2 linked regions of the Drosophila melanogaster genome follow. The protein of the gene in region 1 interacts with the protein of each later gene in a pairwise test. Each region holds a gene or a part of one and is shown in the gene's direction. Other genes may lie near its edges.

Region 1 (11,794 bases):
TTAAGAAGCGATTGGCTGGCAAAGAGAACGACCGGAGAGTCAGGATGGTGGTGCGTCCGTACAACGATGAGCTCCGGTACCTGGAGAAAGTGAGCGACCACTGCTGGCGCATCAAGAAGGGCTTCCAGCCAAATATGAATGTGGAGGGGTGTTTCTATGTGAACAGCCGGCTGGAGCGCCTGATGCTGGAGGAGCTGAAGAACTCCTGTCGCCCGGGCGCAGTGGGTGGCTTCCTGCCTGGCGTCAAGCAGATAGCCAATGTGGCCGCGTTGCCGGGCATCGTGGGCAGGTCCATTGGACTGCCCGACATTCATTCCGGCTACGGATTTGCCATCGGGAACATGGCTGCTTTCGACATGAACGATCCGCTGTCCGTTGTAAGTCCCGGCGGCGTGGGTTTCGACATCAACTGTGGCGTGCGTCTGCTGCGCACGAATCTGTACGAGAAGGATGTGCAGCCGGTGAAGGAGCAACTGGCGCAGTCCCTGTTCGATCACATACCCGTGGGTGTGGGCTCCAAGGGCATCATACCCATGAATGCCCGCGATCTGGAGGAGGCCCTCGAAATGGGCATGGACTGGTCGCTGCGCGAGGGATACGTGTGGGCGGAGGACAAGGAGCATTGCGAGGAGTACGGCCGCATGCTGAACGCCGATCCCGCCAAGGTGAGCATGCGGGCCAAGAAGCGAGGGCTGCCCCAGCTGGGCACTCTGGGTGCGGGCAATCACTACGCCGAGATCCAGGTGGTGGACGAAATCTACGACAAGTGGAGCGCCTCCAAGATGGGCATCGAGGAGAAGGGCCAGGTGGTGGTGATGATTCACTCGGGCAGTCGTGGCTTCGGCCACCAGGTCGCTACCGACGCCCTGGTCCAGATGGAGAAGGCCATGAAGCGGGACAAGATCGAGACCAATGACCGGCAGCTGGCCTGCGCCAGGATCAATTCGGTGGAGGGACAGGACTACTTGAAGGCCATGGCGGCGGCTGCGAACTTTGCCTGGGTGAATCGCAGCTCCATGACATTCCTCACCCGTCAAGCGTTTGCCAAGATGTTTAACACCACACCCGATGATCTCGACATGCACGTTATCTATGACGTTTCGCACAATATTGCCAAGGTGGAGAACCACATGGTGGACGGCAAGGAGCGGAAGCTGTTGGTTCACCGGAAGGGCTCCACGCGCGCCTTCCCGCCACACCATCCCCTGATCCCAGTGGACTATCAGCTTACCGGGCAGCCAGTCCTCGTCGGTGGAACCATGGGCACTTGCAGTTACGTGCTAACTGGAACGGAGCAGGGCATGCAGGAGACGTTCGGTAGCACTTGCCACGGAGCGGTGAGTAACCAAATCCCGTTTCTTCCTGTTCGCCAGACTAAAACCTCCTTGAATCTTTAGGGTCGTGCACTATCTCGAGCCAAATCCCGGCGCAATCTGGACTACAAGGATGTGCTGGACAAGCTGGACCAGTTGGGCATCGCCATACGCGTGGCCTCGCCCAAACTGGTCATGGAGGAGGCACCCGAATCTTACAAGGACGTGACCGATGTGGTCGACACCTGTCACGCAGCTGGCATCAGCAAAAAGTGCATCAAGATGCGCCCAATTGCAGTTATCAAGGGCTAAGTCTAATTTATTATTGTGATTAAGTCAATAAACATTTGGTCCGATGGCTGTCAATTTAGTTAATAACGAATTAAAATTTTTATAGAATTTGTTAAGAGGTTTTCGTTTTTTTATTCAAAGTTAACAGTTATGTAGTTAAGCTGTTAAGTGAGCTGTGGTCACCCCACACTGGCGCTCTGTTAACGGCGAGCTTAGCATTATGTTAGGCCAAAGGCCCGGTCTGTTAGTTGTCAGCTGACTGCCAATCCAATTGGACCTGCTGCACGGCGCGAATTTTGATTGAGCTGCCCATTTCGATTTATTTAAACGAAAAAAAACGAATTATATTCGTTGTTAACAACACGCCGTGTGCAATTCTGTATGTGCGCCTGCTAATCGCTCGGGAATCGTGAGTGCAATTAAGCCGAAAACTCACTGCAGCCGGCAGTCAACCAAGCTGCGCAGTAGGAAAAGGCCAAAGAAATCTAGCCACTGCTGTTGCCGCCGGACTTAACTGCAAGAACAAACAAACGCAGGCACTATGACGAACATGCGGCCGCCGCAGAAGTCCAAGCTGCTGAAGGTCGTCATACTGGGCGACGGAGGCGTTGGCAAGTCCGCCCTGCTCACCCGATTCGTCGCCAATCGCTACGAGGAGAACAACTTCCACACCATCGGCGTGGAGTTCATGAACAAGGACATAGTCGTCGACGGGGAGCGCTACACTCTGCAGGTGAAGACTACGACTATGACTATTATGCAATCCAACTACTGACTAGGAGTAATAGTAATACCGATATTGCGGCAAGGCCGTAGAACTTTTGCAATTCTTATGGTGAATGCAACAGTTGGCCAAGCGTATTTCCTTCAAGTGTATTTCACTTAAACACTAACCCCCTCCCCCCCCCCCCAAACGGATCTATCCCACCGTCGCATGGTTGTGCCCGATCCACCGGCATTTTGTTGATGCAAACACTTAGAAACTACACAACGATTAAGCCTTGTTTTCCATTCCCTTACATTCGCGGCACAGTGGAACTTTAGTAAGTTAAACAGGGTAAAAACAGAAGTGCTAACAAATTAAACCATTTAAACAAGGAAACATTGACTATACATTCCTTGAACCATTTGAAACACTCGTATACCAGAGAAAAGTATTATCTTACTGACACGTTTTTGAGTCTTGCATTTGAAATTAAGAAAAAAATATGTGCAATCAATTAATTACGTAGTTTTTTCCACTGTAGCTGTACCTACATTATGGGGGTATCTGTTCCATCTGCCCCATCCCCACTCACACACACACATATATGAACATTAGATTTCTACTCAATTAGCGTTGAGAACGGAATGGCATTGCAGAAACAAAAAACTGAAATAATAACAATAATGACAGTTTCGCCATTCGGCAAACAAGTGAGAGACTTTGTTTCATCCGCCGACGCGGTTTCCCCCGCTCCATCTCATCCGCATCGCAGTTGTTTTCCATTTTCCATTCGGACTGTTGTCTTCAAAAGTATCGAACTAAATGATTTTCACAGTTCGCCAAGCTCGGAAAACTCATGAATATGCAGCGCGTCTCAGTGAGTAAGCAAAATGCAGCCAAGGTGTCGCAAATCGGAATAATAATTCTAATTGGACCAGCAGATACATTATAAAGTAGGAAGTAGCGAATGTGGACTGATTGATATACATATGACTAATCCGACGGGAATCTCGCATAGTTTGCTGGTTCACAGTTCGCTGGGCACAGGAAGAACTTGGCCAAAAGCGGATTTCCCAGTGCTGCAAAAAATCGTGGAATCACTGGGGTGTTTTTTGCACTACCTATATACATATGTACATATGTATGGAGTCACTTAGTTACCATGGGCAGTACTCACACCCTAAAAGGGTTATTCCACCCATGTGTTTGGAGGCCAAAGGTGTTTATATTAGATAAAGAAGTTTAAAGTATCCATTGTTAGAGCTAAAAGTATAACCTCATGTTCGAAAGTATAAAATAAATAAAAGTATAAAATAAATATTTAAAGTATGTATGCTACTCGAAAATTCAGATTCAACGAACTATTTCCTGAGCTAATTGCTTATCACCACCTCGTTATCAGTTCAAAACTAAATATTTAATTAACACACAAGAAATGACAGTAAATGTGTTGATATAAGTGAGTCAGTCAGGCATGCAAACACTCCATAGGTTTTCAAACGGCGAAAGTGTTTGTTTCTCAGTGAGTTTGCTTCTAATCGAATGCAAATTTCAATTGAGCGCCATTTGAATCGCCAATTCAATCAAACTTAATTGATGCATTGCCTTAATTGGAATTTCCCCAAACTAGATATGGGACACCGCTGGCCAGGAGCGATTCCGGGCTCTACGCACCCCGTTCTACAGAGGATCGGACATCTGTCTGCTCTGCTACGCACTCGACGACCGGGACAGCTTGAAGGGATTGGGTGTGTGGCGCAATGAGTTCCTCAACTACGCAGATGTGGACCAGGACAAGTTTCCATTCATCGTGGTGGGAAATAAGGTGAGCCATGCTTGCAGAACGTTCATCTTGAGTTTAAAAGGTTAATTGCTTCCAATTGTAGAACGACATTCCGGCGCAGAAGCGACAGGTGAGCTCCGACGCAGTGCAGCAGTGGTGCGCGGAGCAGAAGGTGGCCTGCCACATCGAGACGTCATCGAAGGCGGCCACCAATGTGACGGATGCGTTCGTCCTTGGCCTTCGCCAGTGGCGGCACATGGAGTGCGTGGCCGAGGCGGAACTGCGCCAGCACGGCGACACCATTGACCTCACCCGCCCCATTCGCCTGGTGCAGCGGCGCATCTGTTGCACAGGCGGAGGAGGCGGTGGCGGCGGCGTAGGGCAGGACGCGGATGGCGATGATGCCGCCATGCACAGTCCGGGCAAGAAAGTGTTCGGCCAGAAGCGCAACGCCAGCAAGGCGCCAGCCACCAATTATCGGCTATGAGCAGACAGACAGGAGCTGTCAGGAAACTTACGCTTAATTTAACCACTCACCCCGCCGGGTTGACCTTCAGATTCAATGCATTCCAGTCCGCGGAGGGGCAGGAGCTTCAGACCGAAAGGCAACCCATCCACCCAATGTTGATGGCTGTAGAGAGTGGATTGCCTCGTTGTGGTTGATATTCTAAGGGAACTATGCTTCACAGCGAGCTAACTATGAGCTAGCTTCTATGTCAAGAATAGGATCTCCATTTTTACTTGCTATGCTTTAATATTATCTTACTAAGTTATTATTTTGTTATGTTACCGTATCGAATATATGCGGTATGAAATACTCTTATAACAATCGTATATAAGCTTTACCATAACCAAGTGTCTTGCTTGAGGAAAGCAAGCTTTAGGTGTCTAATGTACTACGCATAAGGCAATCAGAATGTAATCACTACATTTTTTCCTTATATATTGCATAATTTCGGAGTGCCTTAAGTGTGTTTATCTGATGTGAAAGCTGGGAACAAACGAATAAATATGAATACCGCACGTGTTTGTTTACAAAGTATGTTTATATTTTAACAATTGGTTTAATGTACAATAGTAAAATGATATAAATACGCTTACCCCGGATTAAAATAATATGCATGTAGGTATAACACTTCTTCTGGCTGCGATCGACACTCCGATCCTGGTTAAGACTAAGGCAAACTCTAGGCGCTACTCACTAACAGGACAAGCGTATGGTAGATCGAGTGCTTAACTATAACGCTCCACGTGGGCTTAATGTGAAGACGTGTGGAAACGAGTGGAGTTGATTATCACGAGCAGCACCAGGCCGGTGGCCACAGATCACTTCTTCTTGTAGCCGTACGAGTTGATGGTGTCGAACTCGGTGTCGCACTTGAGCAGCAGCTGGTACCACTGGTCGCTGTCGATGCGGCTGGCCTCCCGGAATCCTCCGTAGGCGGCTGGCAGGCACTTGGGCGACATGTATTTGTGCAGGGACTCGCGATCGGTGCCATGGAAGATGATCCTGCTGCGCAGCTTCTCCTTGAGGAAGGGCTTGAACAGGGCAAAGACCACCTGGAAAATCTTCGGCTGGTTCACGATGTGAATGGCCTTGATCCGGAGCGGCACCGAGTCCTGAAGCCAGTCCACAATGCGCTTGGCGAACGGAGGCGTAAACTGCCACGTTTGCTGGAGACTGAGGCCATCCATGTCGAAGATCACAACGGCTCCGCAGATCTGTGTTTCTGGCTCCAGCATGGCCGCCTCCAGGAAGAGCACAGCTCCCTTGAACACCTCATCGAGGGTGACCTGCTTGTGCTTCCAGCGCTCTGTAATCGGGGATTACGAAAGATTAATACAGGATCTGCTCAATGCTTGGAGCAACTATGAAACTTCAAATGATAGGAAAACCTGCATCTTAACTAAAATAAACTTTACTCTGAAGATCGAGATCTTTGCACTCAAAAGCTAATATATTGAAGTATCCTTCTTTCAGTGTACTTACTGCCCAGTTCGAGGACCAAAATGCGACGACCCAGTTGATCTCGGTTGGGGAAGACGGTAAGGATGTTGTGCTTGAAGATGTTGGCCTCGTTCGATGGCTTCAGGTCGGTGTACACATCCGCGTGCTTCACCTTGAAGGCGTAGTACCGCTTAATCTGTTCCATATTCAGAATATATACAATTAGTAACACAGCTGGAAACTGGGTTGCCACACTAGACTCACCAGATCACGGGCACTTTCCGGGTAATACTTGCAGGGCCGCAGGTATCTGATCAGCCACTCCTCGTTTCCCTTGGGGTACAGCAAGTCCGTCTCCGCTGGAAGCATATCGCAAATATTAATCGACCTCACCTTCAATAGTCTTAATTCTAAAAAGTCACTAAACCACTGGCATTAAGTTTATCCAGCAATTAAAAGGCAATCGTAATTTGTAACAATAGTTACGAATCTTATGCAACGAAATCCTCTCGAGGGCGCGCTGCTTTTAGCCCCAACTTGTTATTAGTGACACGAAGTCGCCAACTAATGATATAGAACTATTCGTTCGAACTTGGTGTACAAATGGATTTTCAATTCCCAACAATCGGGTAAATTATTAGATGCAGGCTAAGTACGAAGTTTATGGCTTAAGTTTTATTAACTCAAGTTTTTATCAGCTTTTGGAGATCCCTCGGATATAAATTATGAAAATAGCTTAGCAAAATGCATATTGTATGATCTCAGTTCAGATATATGTATATACTTTAAACAGATGTAATGCAGTTTCAATGACTTTCATCATGTGAGTTTTAACTCATGTAGTTAATGTATAATTATATTGATTCAAAGTAAAACTCCATTTCTGATCACGACTCACCTTCTAGAAGACGGGCCAGCTCCTTGGAGGCCTCCTTCTGGCGCTCGGGTGTTTCGCGCAGCTCCTTGATGGCCACCTCCTTGCCCTGGGCAGTCGGCTCGCCCAACTCGAACTGGAGCGTGTAGTCGCCCACCTGGAGCGTGGGCAGTTGGTCGATGTCCGACAGCATGGTGGGTACTCCTGGAAGGGAAGCAGTTGGGGTTCGGTTAGCGACAGCTTCTGTACTTTGAGCTGGGGCTGCGGGTTTCACACTGAGAGCACTGGGAACTTTGGCCAACTAAATAACTTGAGCTAACTGACATCGATTGCCAATTAGTTGTCATACTTCACAATTACTACTTACTCATTTTGCAATTGTTGCTGCTCTGGCTGAACTGAAATTATTCTGCGATTATATTAAGCTATGTGCTTTTTCTAAGCGGTTCGCCGCTGTATATTTTCAGTTTGCCAAATGTAAAATTGTGCCCTCTATTTATAAGAAGAAAAAAGCGTAGAGATTTCAATTTATTAGCGAGACACAAGTGACTCGGAACCGGCTCAACTGCATCGAGTTTCTAGACTTTCCCGCCAGTCAATGCGATGATCGTCTAAACATATCCATATATGTATTCATTTATTTATTAATCACCTGGCCGACCTTCACCTTGACATTCGCAAATTGCTTAAAACGGAAGAAGAGGCCAGAGATTCGCGAAGATAATGCAATTCTTCAGAGATCAGAAAATAACGTTAGGAGCCTTGAACTAAATTCTGGAGACACTTGACGCGTTCTACTTGAGCGTAATTTCCAGTTAGGCAGGTTTCGAATTGCGAGATGAGGAGCCAGGGTCTGTGAGCTTATATAGTGGGGCAGTTGGATATCAGAAATTAGCACACTAGATTTCCCATCAAATCGGAAATTAGCGCTGAAGATTTCCCATCAAATCGAAAATTAGCGTTAGTGCTGGCTCGAAACAAAAGACTAGGAGATTAGCATCCGAAGCGCTGACATTGAAAATTGCTACCAATTTCGGCTAGATGGGCCAGGTGATTTGCTTAGGGTATCGTCTGTTTTTGCATTCATGAATGATACACAAGAGTCTACTGAATCGCTGATGTTGTGTCTGGGAAAATACGAGATCTTAAATAGTACACACGGATCACAACACAACACAAGACAACACAACACGACCGAAACTAGTTTGGCCCAAACTTAAAGGCTATAATGGTATAATGGCTAACAGTATTCCGCAAAGACGGCCCAAAAAACCAGCTGCGAGTGACGCGTGCAACGGAGCTGAAAGCCCAGATGAAACTGTTGCGGCCAAAAGCGCGAGTCGAGATTTTATGCCAGGCCAAGAATTAAAACTGGAATTGTGAGCGGAGCGGCATGAGAGTGGGTGTCGCCGATCGAGACGCCAGTGCTGCCAAGTGGGTTTGTTTCCCGACAGTAACTACTTCTGCTATAAGGGGGTCTTTTAACTATAGTTGTTTAATGCTTTAATGCACCAAAATGAAGTAGTTTCAACATAATAAGCTTCTACTGAAACATATATTTTCTTGCTTGCTTGCACTAGTGATGGGGAATAACTATATAATGCTATTATATGAAACAAGTTGTGCACCCATTAAGTGATCATCACCAGCTGAATCTGAACTTGAGCATGACATTCACGTGCCTCGCAAGAGCGTGGAGTTGCTAGATGGAGAGACACATGGAGTTTGCCCAGGGAGAGCGAGCAAGCTTTACTGGGTCTGGGGTGCATCGTCATTGGGAAATGATGCCACCGCCACCTCAAGCCGGTTTCAGTTTCGCTTTCAACTTGGACTTGCCTAATTTATTCGGGTTTTCTTCGGGTAATCGCCCACAGTACTATTGGGCTCTTGAAAATCCCTTGGCATAGGCATTTCCCATCGCGACCCTGAAGCCCCGTGCCCGTGCATAGCCATCCGGTTTCAATGCTGCCCAGCTACACGCCAATTAGTGCTTACACCTGTTCGGCGTACCTACACCTGGGGTCACCCCACTAGCAATTTGTTGGAGACCACAAACATTGGACACTTGAAAGCATCTTCAACTATTTATAGATCATAGTTATAGATCATAAGATCGCATCTAATGACACCGCATCACCATGTCATATCATATGTCCCTATTTTCTCAGCCCCATGTGTTAAGCCAGGCATATTTGGTATAATTAACACGTCCCAAAGCCGAGCACCCTCTGCGTTGTGGACAGCAAATGGTTCCCGCCCGGTTTTGGACAAATCGGTTCAATCGCACGATCGCACGTGCGAAGACTTCGGCCATTCATGGATACGGATTTACGTTGCGATGATACTCTCGATTTCATTACGGCCAGTTTCGGTCATTTGGTCAATTTTTATTGGCCATCTCGAAGCGGATGCTGACGAAAACTGGGTGGTACAAAGCTGCGAGTATATGGAAAAAACTTGAAGCGAGTAATATGAGTAATTCTGGGGTTACGACCCATTGCAATGTCAACCTTCGCCCTTCGGTTTTTTCTTTGCAAAAAGCGTGTTAAAAACCCTGCATGAGAAACCTGCTTTTGAAGAACGTGACAATGGCGGTTCAAAAGCAAAAGTGCTTTGACCTTACTCAAGAGATGGAAAAAGTACAAGTCGGTAGATATTACTGACATCGAACAAATGGATTGTTACATGAATACTCGCTTGATGTCCAAACAATTTAGATGGCATATCAAAAGGCATTGCAAAAAGTGTTGTTTTTTTTAAATTATTTATATTTTGAATACCTTTTAAATACTCTTTCTCGAACTAATCGTGACTTTCAATTACCAGCACAACTGTATATAAGTTTTTAACAAACTGGTGTATAGTTTTTCGAGCAACTGTAGCCACGCGCCTTATATAAATACATACGTACGTATATAGAAAATAATTCTATTTGAGGGAGATAATTCTAAGAAAATGCATATAGTACTTGCAATAAATATACGATAAAAAATGGGGTTCGGCAGATTTCGCTATTGCTCACCAAGTGGGAATTCAGAGGGCAGGCACCTCATCGCAGATGCAGTGGTCAGCATGGTCATGGCGATGCAGATCGAATGAATACACACACAAGTTACTTTACAACTAACTAAACCGGTATGCACATGCAAATGCTAGCGTATGTAAATAAATTAATATTTCTTTATTCAGGCTGATCGAGTCGGGAGCATCGGCGGTGGCTAAATGGGTCAATGTCGTCGGCGAGTTACTGAACTTTGTCTGAAATTCTCGAGCGACGAGTGCGAAAGGGGGGAATGCATGCAACAGTAATGAGCAAAAGGCAATGCAAAAAACACGGACAGACAGTGATGCCTCGTAAATAAGGGCTGAGCGTAGCTACATAGTGATAGTGATGGTGATCTGGCTAAGATATTTTTATGGTCCCTAGCGCTACACACTCAGAAATGCACTCTTAAAAAGAAAAGCACTCTATATGTATATATATATACAAATGTATATATGAGATCCAATTACTCACCTTGTTTGAATTGAAAATCGGCTAATCCACAAATAGTTGGCTGGTACAGTGGAAATCCTTCGGAACTCCCGTTCGACTCCGATATATGTACCTAGTGAGCTTGGGTCGCGTTTGAAGACTGAAAATACAAAGCTGCTTGTCAAATCGTTTTATAGCCGCCCCTTTTATGCACTGCGTGCATTGCACATATGTATTGTACGACAAAGTTATAGTTATCAAGATATATACATAGGTCGGTCGGAATAGTCGGGCACTCGTAAGGCCAGCGCGACTTAATAGGTCATTATAAGCGACCGATTCGAGTTAAGAGCTCTAAAGATCACGTCGCGAATCGCCGCATGGGATCTTCTTTTTTTTTTTTGGCTTGTTTTGCATAAGTTCACCTGAAAATGGTTCACTGAGCTCAGCATTAATTTTATGTTATTTCCATTGTTTTTAGTACGTTAAAGTGCCAAGACAAGTGCGGTATTTCTCACGGTGCAGCGCACTCAATCGATTTTCCACAGCAATTAACATTATTAAATATAATGTTGCAGAAGGTACACTGAAAGTAAGTGAGTACTACAAAATTCAAGAACTTTCTTCACTTTGTGTGCACTTTTAGAAATGTTCTTGACTTAAAACAATATAGTTATTATTATTATTATTGAAAAAATCCGTACTTTCTATCAGGAAATCCACTTTGCTATATTTTGTAACTATATACACTTTGTAACTTGTACTGTTTAGCACTTTCGAGAAATTCTCATCTGCCACTTGCGAAAAGTCCACTTCCTATATTTGTTCTAGAATGTAAACGAAGGAATATTTTCATTTCTCGTCGCAAAATACGAAATTTTTAAGTTAGCTATATAGCATCGGGGCACTTTCGCAATCGCGGCACAGCTTTATATATGTATATATATTTATATTAAGTGCGTGTTCTGAGCGTTTCGCACAGTGTATCGTGGTTAATCTTCTGATGGTTACGCGACTTGGATGCAATTAGACTTGAACTTTTGAACGCTCCGTACACGAGTAGTTTAAAGACTAATCGCCTTCGCCACTGTGACTGAGTGAAAAACGAGTTTGTAATCCCTCTTACGGATCGTAAGTGTGTAAGTTATTGCTTTGGCTATCACTCCTCCCGTTCGACACAACAGTAACTTTCTGCTTTTCTGCCGGACACTAGCTAATGTACCTTCTTTCGACTGGCGTGTCCGCGTTCCACGATCAAGTGATCAACTGACTGACGGGGGCTGTGGGTAATTCGAGCTCATTTGCTTTTAGTTTCAAGCACGAGCAATTAATTAAGTATTTCACTGCTCGCCGTTTCCAAATGTATTTCCATGCCATTTCTTGCGCTTGCCTGAGCCCATTCTG
Region 2 (11,318 bases), on another chromosome or scaffold:
CCTTAGCCGGCAAGTGGTCTGCCTTCGGTTCGGAGCTCCCAACTCCCAGCTCCAGTTCAGGTTGCGTCATCCGCGTTTGGGGGCTCTCCAATCCGAGCTGCGTCTACGAGAATTGCAGTTTCACTGCAGCCGAGATACTTCACAAATTGGTGCTGCTTGGCCCGCTTTGTTGACTGCTGTCTGCTGACTGTTTGTCCGTCCGAGGCTCAGATCGAAATCTAGTCAAGATCTGTCCGCTCGACCACCTGTCCTCCGGTCCGCAGTTCGCAGTCCGCTCGAGAGTGCGAGTGCGTGGTCTGCCGTCGAGGGGTATAAAAGTAACGCAATGCACACGTCCACTTACAGTTGCAATTCTCCCTCCAAGCCAAGTGATTCGTTATCCAGCGCTAGCATGAAACTTCTGGTGAGTGGAAAGGGTTGGAAAGGATGCGGCCTAGGATCAGTATTATCACTTTAAGCCAATAATACTGACTGCAAAGGATATCTTCATACAAGGATTACCTCGATCTTATATTCACTAGATCAAAAAGATTAACATCAAAGTTTGGTTTTCCATTTACCTCGCCAGATCCTTACCTCTCTGCTGGCTGTGGCCACTGCTGCTCCTGGACTCCTTGATTATGGACACTCGGCTCCGGACTACAGCTACGCCCATGCCGCTCCTGCCATAACATATGCAGCTGCAGCTCCAGTCATCAAGTCCTACGCTGCCCCAGCCATCACCTATGCGGCTCCAGCTCCGGTGATCAAGTCCTATGCCGCTCCAGCCATCAGCTACGCCCATGCCGCTCCTGCCATCAGCTACGCCGCTCCCACGGTGGTCAAGTCCTATGCTGCTCCTGTGGCGGTCAAGGTGGCAGCTCCAGCCACCAGCTACTCGCACTTCAGCTCGGTAAGATCTGGATATACTCTGATATTTTCCCATTTAATCTTACAATCTACTTTGCATGCACAGGTTGTTTCCCATGCCACGCCCATTGTTAAGTCGTACGCTGCGCCTGCCATCGCCTATGCTGCTCCAGCTCCGGTGATCAAGTCCTATGCCGCTCCAGCCATCAGTTACGCCCATGCCGCTCCAGCCATCAGCTACGCTGCTCCCACGGTGGTCAAGTCATATGCGGCTCCAGCCATCAGCTACGCAGCTCCTGCCCTGGTTAAGTCATACGCTGCACCTGCCCTGTCCCTGGGTGGATACGGTTACCACTAAGCTCCGATACCAAAACACTCCAAATCCAAATCGATCCCGGATCGGAGTTGGAACAATGGCAGCAATTAACTGCGAGGAGTCGCAACAGCCCAGCACGCTCTCCCACTTTTTCAACTTGTAGTCGCAAAATCTTCACAATCTTCTCTGTTTACTTCTTATTTATTTAAGAACCATTAATATTCTCTCAAATGCACAATAAAGAAAAATTCTGTTTTTCAAAACCCACTCGTAATATCTACGATGGCAAAGGTTATAATGACCAAGATTGAACTCAGGTTGTTCAGGATCTTGGCCATATGGTGCCAGGGATTCTCCTGAATGTCGCAATAGTCGGTAGACTGTAGGAATATAGTGAATTGCAATACGTATATGTGTTCAATAGGGGCTTAACTACTCACATCCGAAAATCTCAATCCCAGAATGCATCGCAGAACATTGGAGTTAATCACCCTAACCAGCCAGCCAGGAGCCTTCGATCTGGGTGGATATAGATCCAGCCATATAATGCAGATGTGCAGAATGTAGCAATAGGTGGTGGTCATCATGATGACTTTATATGCAGTCACTGTAGGAAAAGTGAAAATTTGAATTTGAAAATTATACACAGTGAGTTTTAGTTAATTGATTTAAAACTTACTCATGGGCGGCACATAATGCGGAGAGGCGTAGCGCGTCATGTACATTAAACCCCAGGCGGCAATCAGCAAGGCGATGAGAATGAGGGAACTCCTACGAGTAGAACGCAGTACAAAGGACAAAATCAGGAACATCTGGCAGGCTGAAAGAATATATTGTAGTTATATGTTATTCCATAACAAGAAATCAAACACATTTTCATATTACCAATCAACGGCAAATAGAAGACGGTCATGTAGAAGCTCCGATTCCTTTGCAGCGTGAACTCAATTGCCACATCGCCGGTCATTTTCTGCATCATTCCCTTGGGGTTGTATCGCCTTTGCGAATCGTTCTCCACCAGCACCACGGACATTTGCGTGAACGACCAGCCGGATGGCGTGTTCACGTGCTCATTGGGCGCAATCGGCTTGCGCTGATCATCGTAGATTAGCGCCACATTCTCCTGCCCCTCCTGGCCATTGAGACCCAGCTCGATGTCGCAAGTCACTCGCTCGCTTGGCCAGTTTCGGGCACTGTCCACACACCAACTGGCCAGCTGGAGGTTTTGAGCGTACAGGGTGATGCTTCCGTTGGCGTAGACCATCAGCTCATAGGATTGGAGGACCTGACCCATGGATTGCAGGGCGCCGTTGAGGACGTTCATATGCGGCTTCCATATACGAAGGTCAGGATGTTCGAAAGATTCCAGCGAGCCGAAGTCCTCGGGTTTCCAGACAAGACGACTATCCCTCCAGTGCTGCATGGATAGGCGAATGTATCTTTACTGTTTCACACTAAATATTTGCATTTCGAGCTTATCTTTCATTACCATCATCATGTGCATGCGGGTCTGAAGCAAGGAACTGGTTTGCTCGTAGGCGAGGGAGCGCGTTTGGAAGTGGAACGATATGGAGCTGAGATTAGCCGGCATGCTTGCATTTTCCGCCTGGATATTCAGATGGCTTAGCAGTTTTTCCGTCTTCGTTTCCTCCTTCACTATCGGTGCAATTTCCGACCCTGAAATGGGTCAGTTTTAGAACATACTTACAGATATAGACTTATAGCTTACTATATATCATCCTTACCATAACCATCGAAGCCACAGTCGTAAAACCACCGCGCCGTATTGGAACCAAAGGAGCTGAAACTCAGATAGTTGATGACCAGCGGTGCTTCATCGATGAACTGCAGCAGGGGCTCCTTCTTGAAGCCGGGTATGTAAACAAACAGCTCGCCATCTGGAAATATACTGTGCGTTGGAGGGGCAGGGAATACCCGATAAGATGGGGGAACTCACTCTGGTTTTGGACAATCTCAATTGGCGTCGGGTCGTACAGCGATACCAAGTTCGGCTCTTGATTCGTGGCCACCCGCCTCATTCCCATAGCATTCCGGATTGCGGAAAACGTATTTCCGCCGGCTCCTATCACTGCAAGCGGAATAAAGATATCAATTGAATATTTAGGTAGGGTTCCACTAGAAAGAGCTCATTGAAATGCTGGAATTAAAACTGAATATTATTGATTTCACCCACCGATCTCGTAAACGCGATCATTTGGGCGCGGGTGATTCGTCACCGAGAGCAGGATGTGCGCATCCATGGCGGTCAGGACGTAGAATTTCAAGTGCAGCCGCTCTCCGGCCTTCCTGTTGTTGTTGCTCAGCTCGCGCAGCATGTAGAACCTCCGGTAGCCATAGCCCGTATTCGGAACGGAGTAGGTTTCGCAGGAATCCAGCTGGGCGAAGCTCACGTTGAATCTCGTTGACAGTTGTCCCGATTCCGCTGGGTCAATCAATATCAGTAGCAGGCACAGGCAGCAGTATGTTGCCAAGGAGCCCTTGATAAGGTTGTACATCGTATCGACCTGGACTTCTACTCCTCACAGCGGCTTAACTACGACTGAATTAGGAAGCCGACTTAAGTGAAGTGATAAGAAACGATGAACTAATGGTTGTTTCGATAAATAATACTGTTTTTTTTTTTTAATTTGAAGAGTATTTCTCAAAACCTCCTCGCATGAACGTTTATGCAAGTAGAGTGAAATTTCTTAATTGTACATAATCTCTGTTTATTGAAAACGGATACGCATATATACGTGTTCGATTTTAAAAATGAAAAAAAAGCTAAAAATGCGCGCCAATATATAACTGTGCTTTCCCTGCCGCCTAGTGTACCCGTTCGCGCGGCATTTTGGCTCTAAACGCGTACGGTCATACTGAACTTCAGACCTGTTATCAACATTCAGAAATTTCCACTTTTGCCTAGCTTAATTTACATTTGTTGGCTCGCCTTCCGAACCGAGCTTACTCCAGGTGTGGCAAAGGTACCGCTGCTGACCCCGAAGGACATGCCCGATGACACGCAGGATGCCAAGGCGCAGAAGTTGGCCGCGGCAAGGAAAAAGGTGCGACAACCAGTGCCACACACAATTGTTTTGCTCTTGTGACGTGGACACATATTGGCCGACTAATATTGATTTTGTTTAACACGCTTCTGTGGACACAGCTGAAGGAGTACCAGCAGCGCGCCAGCAACAACAATGGGCAGCCGGGAGCAGAGGAGCCGGTGGCTGCCACCACGCAATCGCACTCGTCCACTGTGAGCATATCCAGCAATCTGTCGGAACGGTCAGACAGCGAGATAAATGTGAACGGTGGAGGAGCAGGTGGGACGCAGCCGCCGGAGCAGTCTGCCCTGCCCACAGCCGCTTCTTATTTTGCCCAAAACGAGTCGGAACACAATGGTGGACTGGCAGATGCCTCTAGCTTGCAGGCCATCCAGGTGATCATCGCTGAAAAGGCCCAGCTCAATGCGGAGCTGACCAAGGTTCGCCTGGCTTGCCGGGAGCGTGAGCTAGAGCTGGAGGAGCTTCGCATCCTCAAGGATCAGAATCAATTGCGTCTGGAGCAGCTACAACAGCACTGCCAGGATCAACAGTCGACCGGTGAGCAGCAGCGACAGCAGTACGCGCAACTCCAGGCACAACTGCTACAATCGCAGGCACAAATCAAGGACCAACAGTCGCATCTCAACGAACTAGAGGCCCAGCTAAAGCAGAGCAACCAGCATCAAGAGGAACTGCAGCAACAGCTTTCCCAAAAATCGAACGAACTCGAGATGGCGCAGCTGAAGCTGCGGCAGCTCTCAGACGAGTCTAGCGTCACCACAGACAACCGAGTGGAGTCGCTGGTGCAAACACAATACATGTACGAGCAACAGATACGCGACCTCCAAGCGATGGTGGGTCAACTAACGCAGGACAAGGAGCAGGCAGCTGGTCAGTATCAAAACTATGTGCAGCATCAGAGTGGCGAGATCGCCAAGCTCAACGAACGAAACACAGAACTCTCAGAGGTACTGAACTCACTGAGGGAGCGAGAACGCCAGCTTGTGGAGCACGTGGGCGCCCTGGAGCGGGATATACAAAAGAACATCAGCCTGCAGGCCCAATTTAAAGAGGCCAGTCAAGTGCAGCCATCCAAGGAAGAAACCAGCGAGCAGGTAAGTAAGCCAAAAAAATATGGAAAACCTGTTTAATCTCCTAGTTCAATTTCAGAAAGCCTTAAAAGATGAACTGGCTGTCTTGAAAGAGCAGATCGAAAACTTCGAGTTTGAGCGCCACGAATTCCAGCTGAAGATCAAGTCGCAGGACGATCAGCTGCAGTTAAAGAACTCGGCTTTAGACGAGTTGGAAAAGCAACTCGAACGCTTGCAAGCTGAGCAGCCCGATCAGTCCAAGCTGTTGGCCACCATGGAGTCAGACAAAGTGGCCGCATCGCGTGCCCTAACCCAGAATGTAGAGATGAAAAACCAGTTGGACGAACTGCAGCAGCGATTTGTTCAGTTGACAAACGACAAAGCCGAGCTGGTCATCCGCTTGGATTCAGAAGAGTTTGCCAACCGAGAAATCCGCCAGAACTACAACAGCATGGAGCAAAAGCTTCAAGCAAATGAGGAGCGCTTTAAGTTCAAGGATGAGGAAATGATTAGACTATCGCACGAGAACGTGGAACTACAACGTCAGCAGTTAATGTTGCAACAGCAGCTGGACCGTCTCAGGCATTATGAGGTGGGTTGGACTGGGATTAAAATTTAACTGACTTTATATCCCATTATCATTTCTTTCAGGCAAAAGCTTATCACGCCGGTGAGGAAACCGAAAAAGAGAATGGAGCAGATGCACCGGAAAACGAAGCAGAGGAAGCGAAGGAAGTTGGTCTTTTGCATAATCATTCGCACGATCACTCTCATCAGCATTCCGACGGTCATTGTCATGATAATGACCACGATCATTCCCATGAACATAACCATCATAATGCTGGTGATCATGGTCATCCACATGATCATCCGCACGATCACACACATGATCATTCACATAGCCATCCACACGATCATCAGCATGATCATCCACATGATCACGGCCAGAACCACGCCCACAGACAAGCAGCTGAAACGCTGCCCACCGCCGAGGCCGTGGAACGCTTGCAATCGCGTTTCACCACACTGATCAGCCAGGTCGCCGACTTGACGGAGGAGAAGCACAGCCTGGAGCATCTGGTGCTCCAGCTGCAGAGCGAAACCGAAACGATTGGCGAGTACATTGCCCTCTATCAAACGCAGAGGCGCATGCTAAAGCAGCGTGAGTACGAGAAGGCCGCCCAAATGCGTCTCTTGCAAGCGGAGCGAGAGCAGCTGCGCGAGAAGATTGAGGCACTAAACAAGCTGGTGGTCAGTTTGGGCGTGGAGCTACCCGCAGATGCCGCCCAGGCAAAGCAACCAGAAGCGGCCGCAGGTAGCGAACACACTCCTGGCGAAGGTGAAAACTCGCAACAGATCATCAACAAGATACAGGACATTATCAGCGAGATCAAGGAGAACACGGAGCAGCCAAGCCACAACCATGCAGGAGACCATCTCAACTGTTGTATGGGCAAGTTCGAGGTAGTCTAAAAGAAGTGCAATTATCGCCTACCTACGTATAATCATTACCCTTTTGCTACTGTATTTAATTGTAATTGTAATTGTACTTTGTTCTTCAGAGTCTTTTGTAAATGTTTCCAACAACTTTGTGCGAATAAACGTAGTTTGCATCTAAGAGGAATCTATAAAATGAGTTCCCCTAAAAGCGTATTAACAAATAATTAATTGAAACGTTGTTTTATTCACAAATGAACATGTAAAAATTAGACGTACTTTTAAATTCCTATTGGCATCTTTGGGTGATGATGATGATGGAGTGTCTTCCTTCCGATAGCGCTGGATGAACTGAATATGCCCTCTATTGCAGGCAAAAAGTAATCCGATGTCAGCTTTTAGTCTATAAATTAAACTTATCAGGGCCTGACGATTTAAAAATATTATTCATATTAAAAATGGTAAAAAGTGGTATTGAAAACCAATGAAATTACAGAAACAACATTAAAGCCTATTAAAAAATTCGTCTATCTACTTTTTGGCCTTGGCCTTGCCTTTCGAGCCATTGCGCAACTTGTTCTTCAGACTTGGCTCCACCAAACTGGTGGGCCTGCAGCTTCTACTCGGCCTTGCGCTGTTGTTGCAGAAAGAACTAGACATATCCGTATTTTCTGATTTCTTATTAGCCGCAGTTCGGCTTCTAGTTCTTATAGATGGCATTTCCTCGACGAGAAAGGATTTCGGAGTGCTGGTGCTTCCGGCCATTTTGCCTATCCCATTGAACAGGCTTCTTCGCGGCGTTAATCCGTTGACATCAGGAAATATTCCAGACGATTGACTAGGCCTGGTGACTGCCAGTCGTGGGCACTGTATGCTTGGCTCCTGTGGAGAATCTTCCACAGCTACGGAAATAGCCAACCATGATCCCTTCCCAGTCTCTTTTCCCCGACTGAGGGACACTGCTACAGGGATATTGGTGTCCACTTCCCGCAGAGCCCGTCCACTGGGCGTGACGGTGACTTGGGCGTTTGGCGGACTACTTTCAAACGTTGTGTCGCAATAGATGGCCTCGCATGATGATGACGAGTCTGTGGACTCCCCTTCACTGCCATTTTCCTCTATAATGCTAAACAGACGATTGTTCTCTTCATTTTGCTCAGTCTGTGTCTCCTCCACGGGGCTTACTGCTTCGTCGAAATCATCGTCCGAGTCGTCCTCATCAAACACTAATTCCGCTGGTCTTCGTGGCGGTGGTGTAGGCTGTACTCAAGCCGATAATGAATCGTTAAGAAAAGCATAATCAAATTTAAGTATAAGTTACCTTGTTGGCTCTTCTATCCTCTGGTATCCTAGTGGTCACCACCTCGGACTGCACTTCTGCGCTGGAGCGGCGACTAGTGGACGATACAGTACTGGTCACTGAGGAAGATCTTCTTGGCGAGATTGGTCTGGTGGTGCGGGCCAACGCACACGTCCGTCGCATGTCCTTGCAGATTTCCCTGGAGCTGCGACGCGGGCCGCTTGGTCTGTTTATCTGAGCTGCGGGAGCGGGCTCCTGACGCACTGCCAGGGAATCGGAGTCCACGTTCAGGCTCAGCATCAGGCTGCGTACGATACTGATGTTCTCCATGCGCTGGCGATGGTTTTGCAGGACGTGCTCCTCCCGAATGTCCATGATCTCTCGCTCCAAAGATATCACCCGCTTCCTGTACTCGCCGATCTCCAAGCGCTGCTTCTGCACTTGGTCCATTAGCTCCGCATTCAGCAGCTTGTACTGCTGCTCCACTTTGGATCCCATTTGCTTCTTCTGATCTACTTATTCCATACACAAAATCCAGACAGACGACGCCAATAGCTTGTTTTGAATTTTGAAATAGAGTGACCGTTGTTGTGCTATTGGAATATACCCCAGCTTAAGGAAAACTTTTTGAAAGTATGGCAACGCCGACCATGCTCTTAATTAAAATGAAATTCTTTAATTTTGGGCCATATATATAAGAAACAATACAATCCGATGTGAATATATTTTATTTTAATAATTATAAATTTGTTTGTCTCATTTGCACGACAAGAATTAGGAACCGTTGAGTTGGTGCGAATTTGATCGTACATGCGTTACCAAGGGTAATTTTCCATTTAAATTCTACACGTATGCCAAAATGCTAAAATTTCGCTTAGTGGAAGCTGTGTATATTGCGGGACACCGATTTCGATAGGCACAAACCATCGAGAGACATCGATACGTCTATGTTTCTCTTACACCTCTAAGCTGCACAATAAATTTATTGTTTTCTCGACCGATTGCGAAGAAAATCTGGATATCCGTGGTAGATAAACAATGCTGCAGCGCTAGAACCCGGAAATCGAAGTGAATACGCGTTTCGGGAGGTTGTAGATACACCTTGCAGAACGCGAAAATCGCACTGAATCAGAAGTCAGCCCACCTGGCAGTGTGTGCGTGCGTGTACGTGAGTGAGAGTGTGCTGTCGCAGTGTGCGTGTGTTTGTGTAAAAATGAAAATCAGTCGGATTTGTATCGTCGTTGTACGTCTTTTAGGCATTTAGCCAGGCTTTTACACATTTCTACAATTCTTACCAACAGTGGGAGGGACTTTCCCCCCGCACTCACAGGACACGATACACATCACATGCAACACCTGTGCACTCGAAAAACGATAGACGGATCTAGCGCGCGGATTAACTTAACTTAGGAACACGGATACGGATTATACACCATAGTTTCGGAAAAATACATTAGGGAACCGCTTGCTATGCTGTTTCATCTCCGCCAGAGAATCACGACAATCACCTGCTGAAACACCGAAGACAGCCAGCAGCCCAGAGAACCGAGAATTTCATTCACAGAAGCTACGACCGCAGTCGAAAACCGAAACCCGCTTCAAGGTGAGTCTGTTTGTAAATCCAACTCGTTTGGCTTTGTACCCATTTAGTCGATTGAGTGCATCACTCAGCACTCAGAATCCGAAGTGGTACGGACTTATCGAGCGACCTTATCAATTCTATTTCGCACGGTGCCCAGAAATTTGGTAATTTATGGCAAGTTCAGGAACCTCTTCGGTACCAGTTCCATGTAGGCAATTATCTTATCGCGCCCTCCGACAATTTCGCCACGATATTTGCGACTAATGGTTGTGTGTATGTAAAATTGCATTTTCCAAGATATGGGGCTATATCTTATAGCCTCGAGGTACACAATAAACAAACACATACCAGCGTTAGTAGGCAGCTGTATTTAGACTTTTTATAATATTTATTCATATGTCCATATTCCAGATTAATCACCATTATTTGCATATATTCTAAGTATAGCCGACAGTCCATGTCTTGCCCGATTTGATTTAATATTTGAGCTTGCATGAAATTTATTTTTTCCTGTGTCGGAGAACACGAAAAGCCTTTTCCACCGTCTAACCGGCTAAAAGGGGTGCAATAAACTCGGGTCGCTTTGATTTTCTCCTGTTCCGTCAGCGAATGCACTTTGTTTTGGTTTGTTGTCGCTTTGTCTTAATCACATTAAGCAAAACGCCCGGGCACGCGACGCATGACGACACCAAGTGTTGCAACACCAGCGAAGACCCATGGAGCATGTGGCCACCCATGCCACCCCATAACTGACCTACAAAGAGTGCATTGCTCGACGGCCGACGAAAACTAAATTCGCTGACTAGGGGTTGATTCATTCGCTTGGCTCCCTTCAGCGATGTGAGTGCGAATTGTGGCGGTTGAACTTCGATGGTATGACATAATCTGGGCTCTTACTATAGCCATTTGAAGAGGCATACAATCGCAATCTTTACATTAGATTTATTACTTGTAGAGTTAGTCACAAGTTTTAGCTTAAGCGTGCAACTTCTGGTGTCGTGGTACCGGTGTCCGGGTTCCAGTTGTCCAGCACTCCCATTAGCTGAGCAACGAATATCTGATAGTCGAGGAACGTCTTGTTTATATTCTCATTTCTAAAATGCTTTACTACTCTGCGATGGTGGAAAACAGATATCAAAACATTGAAATACAAGACTATAGAAGTTGTTATAAGTAATTTCTTTTCTCTGTACCGAAAATAACCCTCGTGGCCAATTTAGTGCGCTCTTTAAACCATCCACAAGTGTGAATGGGCTTCGAGCTCCTTTCCGTAATGCTATGCATGGCACAAAGGGTCGTCCCAGTCGCCGGGTTCAATGTCATTGGCGTGGCGTAGGCCATGGCAGCGGTGGGCACATGGCACCGACCCATCCCAACGTCCCATTCCATGGCATCCCGTCCAGGAGTCTGCCTGCTGCCGGTCTATTGTCGAGGCTGTTGTGCATGCCCCACTGCAAGTACACACAGAAATATCGAGTGCTGCTGCAGTGACACACGCAAAGACTGGTGATTGAAGGGAGGGTGGAGGTGAAGGTGTGTGGGGCACGGGGTGTGGATATGGGGTTTTATGGCCACGGGGAGTGGGCACTTGTCGGCCTTGTGTGCGGCCATTTGTCAGTCGAATTGGCTGTCGTGCATTTTTCGAGCACTGCATCACACGAGGTCTGATTGGCACGTAGTAGAGAGAGAGAGTCGG

The links.
Region 2: the proteins of Rab9 (region 1) and GM130 interact in a two-hybrid assay, tested with the Drosophila melanogaster proteins (one study listed by BioGRID).

What each region holds. Positions count from the first base shown.
Region 1 is NT_033779.5:19,430,727-19,442,520, forward strand, and holds Rab9 (Rab9), read left to right. Parts: upstream 1-1,847; 5' UTR 1,848-2,145; coding exon 2,146-2,337; intron 2,338-3,940; coding exon 3,941-4,135; intron 4,136-4,196; coding exon 4,197-4,580; 3' UTR 4,581-5,115; downstream 5,116-11,794. Other genes in the region: RtcB RNA ligase, read left to right, coding at 45-1,337, 1,398-1,625; CG10237 (uncharacterized protein), read right to left, coding at 5,420-5,907, 6,084-6,237, 6,306-6,400, 6,940-7,119, 9,938-9,995.
Region 2 is NT_033778.4:22,120,218-22,131,535, reverse strand, and holds GM130 (golgi matrix protein 130 kD), read left to right. Parts: upstream 1-4,033; 5' UTR 4,034-4,173; coding exon 4,174-4,230; intron 4,231-4,331; coding exon 4,332-5,327; intron 5,328-5,382; coding exon 5,383-5,895; intron 5,896-5,954; coding exon 5,955-6,776; 3' UTR 6,777-6,969; downstream 6,970-11,318. Other genes in the region: CG34205 (uncharacterized protein), read left to right, coding at 326-403, 569-892, 956-1,207; NtR, read right to left, coding at 1,423-1,545, 1,606-1,772, 1,845-1,985, 2,051-2,582, 2,655-2,842, 2,911-3,063, 3,123-3,254, 3,360-3,681; mei-S332 (meiotic from via salaria 332), read right to left, coding at 7,272-8,000, 8,062-8,538.